2 linked regions of the Arabidopsis thaliana genome follow. The protein of the gene in region 2 interacts with the protein of the main gene of each other region in a pairwise test. Each region holds a gene or a part of one and is shown on either strand. Other genes may lie near its edges.

What was found. The genes of interacting proteins can lie anywhere in the genome.
Region 1: the proteins of AT1G17310 (region 2) and HB51 interact in a two-hybrid assay, tested with the Arabidopsis thaliana proteins (one large-scale study listed by BioGRID).

What each region holds. Positions count from the first base shown.
Region 1 is NC_003076.8:1,003,165-1,007,192, reverse strand, and holds HB51 (homeobox 51), read right to left. Parts: upstream 2,412-4,028; 5' UTR 2,209-2,411; coding exon 2,091-2,208; intron 1,539-2,090; coding exon 1,183-1,538; coding exon of another isoform or gene 1,075-1,182; exon of another isoform or gene 1,054-1,074; coding exon 820-1,053; 3' UTR 562-819; downstream 1-561. UniProt on the Arabidopsis thaliana protein: Putative transcription factor.
Region 2 is NC_003070.9:5,927,305-5,930,833, forward strand, and holds AT1G17310 (MADS-box transcription factor family protein), read right to left. Parts: upstream 1,530-3,529; 5' UTR 1,397-1,529; coding exon 710-1,396; 3' UTR 621-709; downstream 1-620. Other genes in the region: AT1G17300 (uncharacterized protein), read left to right, coding at 83-136; AT1G17330 (Metal-dependent phosphohydrolase), read left to right, coding at 2,662-2,823, 2,977-3,007, 3,100-3,118, 3,499-3,529.

The DNA of each region.
Region 1 (4,028 bases), on a different chromosome or scaffold from region 2:
TTTAAAGACAGCTATTCGAAGTTGGTTTGTAAAATACTAAAATTGGTTCAAAATTTGATTGGCCCATTACAAGTTACACATCTTACCAAACTTTAAGCTCAGATTCACTGACTCTTAGTTAGGCCCAAAATAACTCCTGACTAGGCCCAAACAAACTAGCAACGACGGTTCCAAATATAAACAATGGAGTGGCAGCTTCGTACTACTTCTGATCACTTTATGGCTTTTGCGTCTGATGTTTTATCAATATGAGACAGTTATTGGAATACTGTCAAGGTTACAATTTTTATGATCTCTGATTCGAAATGTAAAGTTCTTAAATATTTAACAACTAAAGCCTTCTTCAATCAAAGCTTACCTGGAGACAGTCATGTACATATAAAGATTAGCTTTTTACCAAGCTACAACACACACACACACACACACACACACAAAGCCTAAGCAGCTTTTTTTTGCGTCAAGAGGTCTCAAGTTCGGTGAAGGGAAGCGGAAAATGCTGAGCATCAGTGTCAAGATTTGTACAATCTCGTTTACTCTCGTCATTATTTTGGTTTATAGCTAGTTTTGTTTCGGACATTCGCCAATTCTGAGTGTTCATAGTATAGTTGTTCAACAAAACCAACTCAACAATTTTCAGACTCAATCTCGCATCCAAGAACGTGCCATTTATGTTTTAAGATCGTACAATGAGAGAAAGCTTGTCTTAGTCTATAACACTACTAAAGTCCTAGTCTAAAGCTCTATTTGACACAATCTCTCTCTCTCTCTTTCTCTCGTTCTCTCATTCTCTTTCCCTCTCTCTGAGATCAGCAACATCTATCAGGGGTATGACGGCCAGCCAGAGGAAGCAACCAGCATCGGATTGTTGTATTGACCGTAAACTTGATTCCCTCCGGTGATTTGATTTGCGTTCATATTCTCCGTTCTTGGATGAGCTACCACCACCGATGAAATCTCCACCGTGTCTTCCTCACCGGAAACTTTGATGGTCCCGGCAGAGATTTGCTTCTTGATCAAACCCTGGTCTCTTAGTAAAGCTCTCAGCTTCTTCACCTGCACCACCAATCCAATTTTTTAAGGGGGGCAATCTGATAGAATCAAGACTTTAAGGGATAAATTAAGAAAACGATAATATGTAATTAGATCCCATGATTTTAATTTTGTGCAATATAATACACAAACCTCATCGTGTAACATTTGTTTCTCCCTAGAAACGACGTCGTACTCTTGTCTAAGCGAGTCGTACAACTGCTCAAGCTGCTTCGCCTTCCACCGTGCACGGCGGTTTTGGAACCAAACTGCTATCTGACGTGGCTGCAGACCGAGCTCTCTCGACAGCTTCACCTTCCTGTCTGAATCTAATTTGATCTCTTCTTGAAAACTTCGCTCAAGTGAAGCTAATTGTCCACTCGTTAGTCTCTTCTTTTTTATCATCTCATTGTTGTTGTTCGGAAATCGGTACGCATTCATGATCTTTTCTGATTCCGGTACAGAGATAACCGGTCCGGTTTGTGTATCGCCAGGCGTATATGAATTTCCTGCTGTTAAACATTTTAGCAAACGCCCCGAAAGGATAAAAGGAAATATTTAAACATAGAAGCGCAACAATATAATCATTATACGAAAAAAAAAAAAAAAAAAAAAAAACTTCCAAAAGTATAAGAAGAATAAAATTATGTCCGCAACCATTTTTCTTAGAGTGAACTATACCATAAACGAATCTCAACTTTTCAAAAGTGACGTTTTACCTTTTTGCATTTGGATCCCAAGAAATTGTTTTTGTAGGATCCCAAGAAAAAAGTAAGAAACTTTATTTATAGATATTGTAGACTGAAGATAAGAAAATCTTAGCTTCTCATCAGAAAAGTAACGTTTTAGTTGACATTTGGAATGAAGTTTAGGGACGTCATATTTGAAATTCTTTACATCATTCACAGAAAAAAAAAAACTTCTTGAGAACATTTGCAAGTGGGATAAATAAGGTTTTAAAGTTCATGAATTCGTCAAATATGGAATTAAACACATCTAAAAGTAAAAAAAACGAAAGCATGTAACATATGCAGACTTGGTACGATGGTGTGTGAATATACCTGCGTAAGGATCAAAGTTGAAGCTGTGGAGCGAGTTAAAGGAACTAGACTCCGGCCATGGCGGTGGCATGAAAGCTACTCTCACGTTTTCTACGTTGCTCGTTGTTGACCACTCCATCTCCTTTCTTTCTTTTGTAGTTCTTGTGAATATCTTAATATATATAAGAAGACATGAGAGATGGTCTATAAGGAAGAAAGATATAGGATCTAATACAATGGATAAAAGAAAGAAAAGAAAATTAGGGTTTTATTGGACCACAAGGGAAGGGGTAAGAGAGGCGTGACAAGAAGTTTCTTCTTCTATGTACTTTGTCTTTTGGAGGTGTAACAAAGTGTGAGAGCACGCAGTGTTCGAAACAATACATATATAAATAGGGATATGTATCTAGAGGGAGATATAGAGGTGTAGTGAAAGAGACAGAGTGAAATTGTCTGTGTTGTGTGAGGTTTTTTTCACCTAATAAGGGAGCAACCCAACAGTACCTTTTGTTTTGGAATTTAAAGATTGAAAAGGAAAGTGTGATATAATTTTGTCTCATTTGCACATCATCAATCATCATCCATCATCTCTCTAACATTAATATAGGTTGATATATTTTGTTGTGTCCAAGGGTCAAACTTGGAATTTTTAATTTATTTTCGGGAAACTGTTTTTTCTTTCGTATTAGTTTTTTTATAATATATATACTATCATGACACCTAATCTACTTGTTTATGTCAATATTATCGTTGCGCTTTTTCGATAAACATACAAATTGTAACAATTTATAGTGTTACAGAGTTTGCAAGATGATGTGAACCAACCAAGACAATACATGTTTTAGATTTAAATAAAATTGATTTTGCTACAAAATTAGAGGTTTTGATAATATCATATTTTTTGAAGAAAAAACAAACAATCTTGAGCCTTGTGTGAATGCACCAAATATTCCTTTTGAAAATCTAGTGTAAACCAATAAATGGTAAATCAAAATCTGCATGGATTAATTATATTTGACGGAATTTCTAAACTTGGGACTTTTTAACATTCACATAAATCTACTTGTGGCCTTTAACATTTAAACCACCGTCTTAATTGACTGAATTTTATAAACATGGAAACATAAATGTAGTTGAAAAGAAATTGATGAGATTTTATATATAAATATATTGTAATTTCGTGTAGTAATATAGGTGGGGGTACGTATTTGTCAAAGTTAAGCTTAAATAAGTGAAAGAGAAAGAGTGAAACGAAACTAATGGTCCCCCAAAAACTCCATAAAAACTGACAATGTGGTTCCCCCCTTCTTTGGTTATGCCTTCATTCTTGGTCCTAAGATTTTCAGTTATTGTTTTGTCTTATATATACACCATCTAAATCTACTTATATATATGTGAAAATTAATGTGCAAAAGGTTTGGCACTAGTGGCAAGTCCATACCAATGTATATGTGCAGTAACCTGTATAGAGTATATAGGGTGAGGCCAAAAGCTACCTTTGAAAGCTAAGAATCAACACAGAGAGCTAAGTAGATCATCTATAAATAAAGAGTCTGATATGACCAATAAAAGCCAAAGCAAAGAAGAAGTTTGAAAACTAAGTCTCATTGTCTTCATCTACTGTGTACTCTTTACCCCCACATTCTTTATTAACTTGCAGTTCTACACACAATCTCTCTCCCTATATCTCTCTCTCTCATATTCAATTGCTACTTAACAAATTGTTGATGTGTAAATAGTGTAAGAGATGGAGAGAGAAGGGTAGAGAGGGAAGGAAAGGAATCTTTTTCTATGTTAAAAGTAGATAGGGTTTGAACAGATTGATGATAAGTAATGAGATTTAAAACTAACGACAGTGTATAAGAGAAAAGGGAAGCTTTTAAGCCTAAACCCTTGAAAGAGATGAGACATCACAGTTTTCATAGTGTATAATTTTTTTAAGAATATTTTTATGGTTTT
Region 2 (3,529 bases):
ACTCCACTCTAGAGACTGATGTCTTAAAACGTTTCTTGACTGCTTCTGATTTTTATTTGTGGGGATATAAATGATCACACAGGTTCTCAAATATGAGTATGCTGTCCGTGGAGAAATTATCAACATTGGTCAATGATGAGACTGGATGTGTTGAGGCCTGAGAGAGTCGGCTGGTCAAACACGTGAAAGAGAAAACCTAATTGCATGTTTAGGGATTAAGCTAAGACTTAGTCTATGTTATTATTCTGTGTCAATTTGTGTCGTGCAAATAAATAAGAGTGACTTGGTTTCCTTGTTTTAAGGAACCAGCATTCCAACCTTTCCCGTTTGTTCTTAATTGTAAGAATCACTTGTTTCCTTCGTTATTTGCTTTTTCTTGTACGCCTTACATAAAATAAGAAAACGACCAAGAGAAAATGCAGTTTCAATCTGCCAAAAATACTTCATGTGGTATATAAATATGGTACATGTGCAGGTCAAATCTTAAAAAAAATTGAAAGCTGGTTTAACTGATAGAATACTGTTCTACATTATGTAATATGTATGGTTCAAAGATTAAAAATCCAAACAACTGAATTTCCAAAGTATGAAGTATACAAGAGATGAAACAATCTGATGATCAATAGCATAAAATCATATAATTAAACTTAACAAAACTAAATAAAATATTTTAGAAATTCATTAGAGGAATACTTCACGACTGGACTAATCAATCACCGTTTTGACCTACACGGCATCGATTAACCCCATCCGTCAGATTTTCCAATTTTTGCATATCCATCGTTGGTTTCCATCCCATCACATTGATTGGCCATGCCGGAACCATATCAACCGTCCGATCGTTACCCATCGCCACAATCTTTTTCCCTATATTTTCTCTCAACATACTCAATGCTGCCATGTACTCCTCAAGCTCCTCTTCTGGCACACTCTCCACCGGACGCTCCCACCACGGTCTCCTACTTTCCTCATCCGCCGCGTTATCACCGGAATATCCCTCCAACTTCACCGGACTCTTACGAAGATACTTGTCTATCAATGCGTCTACATGGCCAAATCTGTAGATCCTATCGCATTTAGAGAACGTTATGACGGCGATTTTTGCGCCCGTGAGAACGCTCAATTCAGCGGATTTCTTGAACAGCCCACGACGGCGTTTCGAGAACGTTACTTGTCTCTTGGTCTCTTCCTCGATTTTCTTGATCTCTATCTTCTGTCTTCCTCGTGTCGTTTTAGGGGTTTGTGTTGTTGTCTCCTTTTTTGGTTGTCTAACCAACATGTTAGGGCTTTGAACAGAATCCTTGGGCGTCAAGCAAGTCATCGATGAAGTTTCTCTTTCTCCTTCCATGAACAAATCTTTCATGACTAACCGAGAGGGGAGAGATGAAAATATCATTAGGTTTTTCCTTGGTCGAGGGATTTATAGTCGTTCATGATTATGTAATAATAAAGGAATTAATTTGTCTTACTTTTCTTCGTACGTTTATGGAATGTTGTATTAAATGCACCTCCAATTAATTAATATTTTTCGGAATGATTCAATGAATCAAAGATAGCTTCTCGTAAAAATGTAAGACATGTGTTGTCTTATACAAAAGTTATAGAAATAATATAAAATCCGAGATACTACTTTCCATTTTAGTCGTTTATTGAATAATCGATTGTGAATTTGTGATACACATTATATTTATATAATATATGCATAGTCTACCTAAATATACACGAATCTCTTTTTACTATCACGTACACATATACAAACGTAGCATGTAGAACAATTATGTCATGCCAAGCAGAAGAAAAACATATGAGTATATGACGTCTTCTTGCCAAGAAGTGATCACATATTCAAATTACACATATGATATTTAAGAATTCCAAATATCACGGTAAAATGTCTAAGTGACAAATTGATCACATATTCAAATTAATTAAGTATCTCATTCGTGGCCAAGAAGTGATTTGATGACATCCTTGTTACTTGATTACAATCTATTCCATAGAACAAAAAAAAAAAAAAAAAAAAAAAGAGTTTAAGAACAGAAACTTGGAAAATAATCAATTATTGAACTACCTCTCTAGAAACAACTAAAATCCCGAATATTTATAAACACCAAAGCAGATAAACCACTTCATAACCAATGCAATTGAAAAGGTTCGGGGACAAAGATAAACCTTGAAATCTTACTAGGGAAAACACCAAAGACAATCTCCATTTCAATGGATCAAATTTGTTTTGAAAAATGTATCCAAAAGTCATAAGTTTATATAAATCGACCTTTCAACTTGACAAATCAGTACTATATAGCCAGCGATTAATGTAAAGAATAGGTTTTCTATAACAATCAGTACAGAGATTTTTAAAATAATTAACAGAAAGTGGCAAAGTTTGTGTAGTTTAATCTACAATAATATGTGAAAATATCTCTGTAAATTTAAATATTTTTTAAAAAAACATAAATAAATAAATTCTTTCATACGTAAGGGTAAAAAGGTAAAATGAGTAAATTCCTTCCCCGAATTTCTCTTTGACTCCGGTGGTCAACGTCGAGCCGAGACGGCAAACTTGAATCAATTTTAAAACAGAGCTTCCGACGCTGAAATTGCAAAATCAAAATCTCTCCAATCTTCGAAACTGAGCAGTTGAGAGAGAGAGAGAGATAGATGGCGGCGAAGACGATGAGGAAGGCGGAGGAGCTGGTGGAGAAGGCGATGAAAGGAAACGATGCTTCTCATGACGCCTGGCACGTGTGGAGGGTCCGAGACCTTGCTCTCTCCATTGCTCGCGAGGAAGGTCTCTCTTCCAATTCTGACTCCATGGAAATTGTGAGTTTGAAAAATCCCTAAATCTCAAAGTTCTAGTTCAGCTGAGCCTGATGAACCTTCTTCTAGTTAGTTCTTCTAGTTAGCTATAGCTGTTTATTGTCAAATTTCAGCTCTTTTACTTTAGAGTGAACCATTTCTGTTGATACTTTGCAGGTGGAGCTTGCAGCTCTTCTCCATGATATAGGTACTTGGTTTTATTTTCATTTCTGTTTTAGTAATGTGGTTCTAGTCCACAGGTTGATCATAATTCGTATCTCTTGCCCTCTCTCTTATCAGGTGATTACAAGTACATAAGGTTTGTTTCTCTAAGTTTTCTTTTCTTTTGAACCGCTTGAGTATAGACTAGTAATGTCCCTTCCAACATTCTTGATCACACTTCCAGGAAACAAAAGTGTTTACTTTTCTCATGAAACTCTCTAAGTTCCCTGCTTTTAACTTTGTTTTATCTAAACTGGATGAATAAAGAAACTTGGAAGTGTTTTGTTTGCGAATGCCATTAGGTAAAGCTTGTGAGAATTCCTTGTCAGATTTGCTTACCTTAGGATTGCTAGGCTCTACTAAGTGGAACTTGGTGTGGATATAAACATAAAAACTACTTAACTATGAATGCTGAAGATTGCTTTCCTTCCGCTGATATGTTGCTTCATGGCAAAAATAATTATAACCGGAATTCAGAGACCCTTCGGAAGAGAAACTTGTTGAGAAT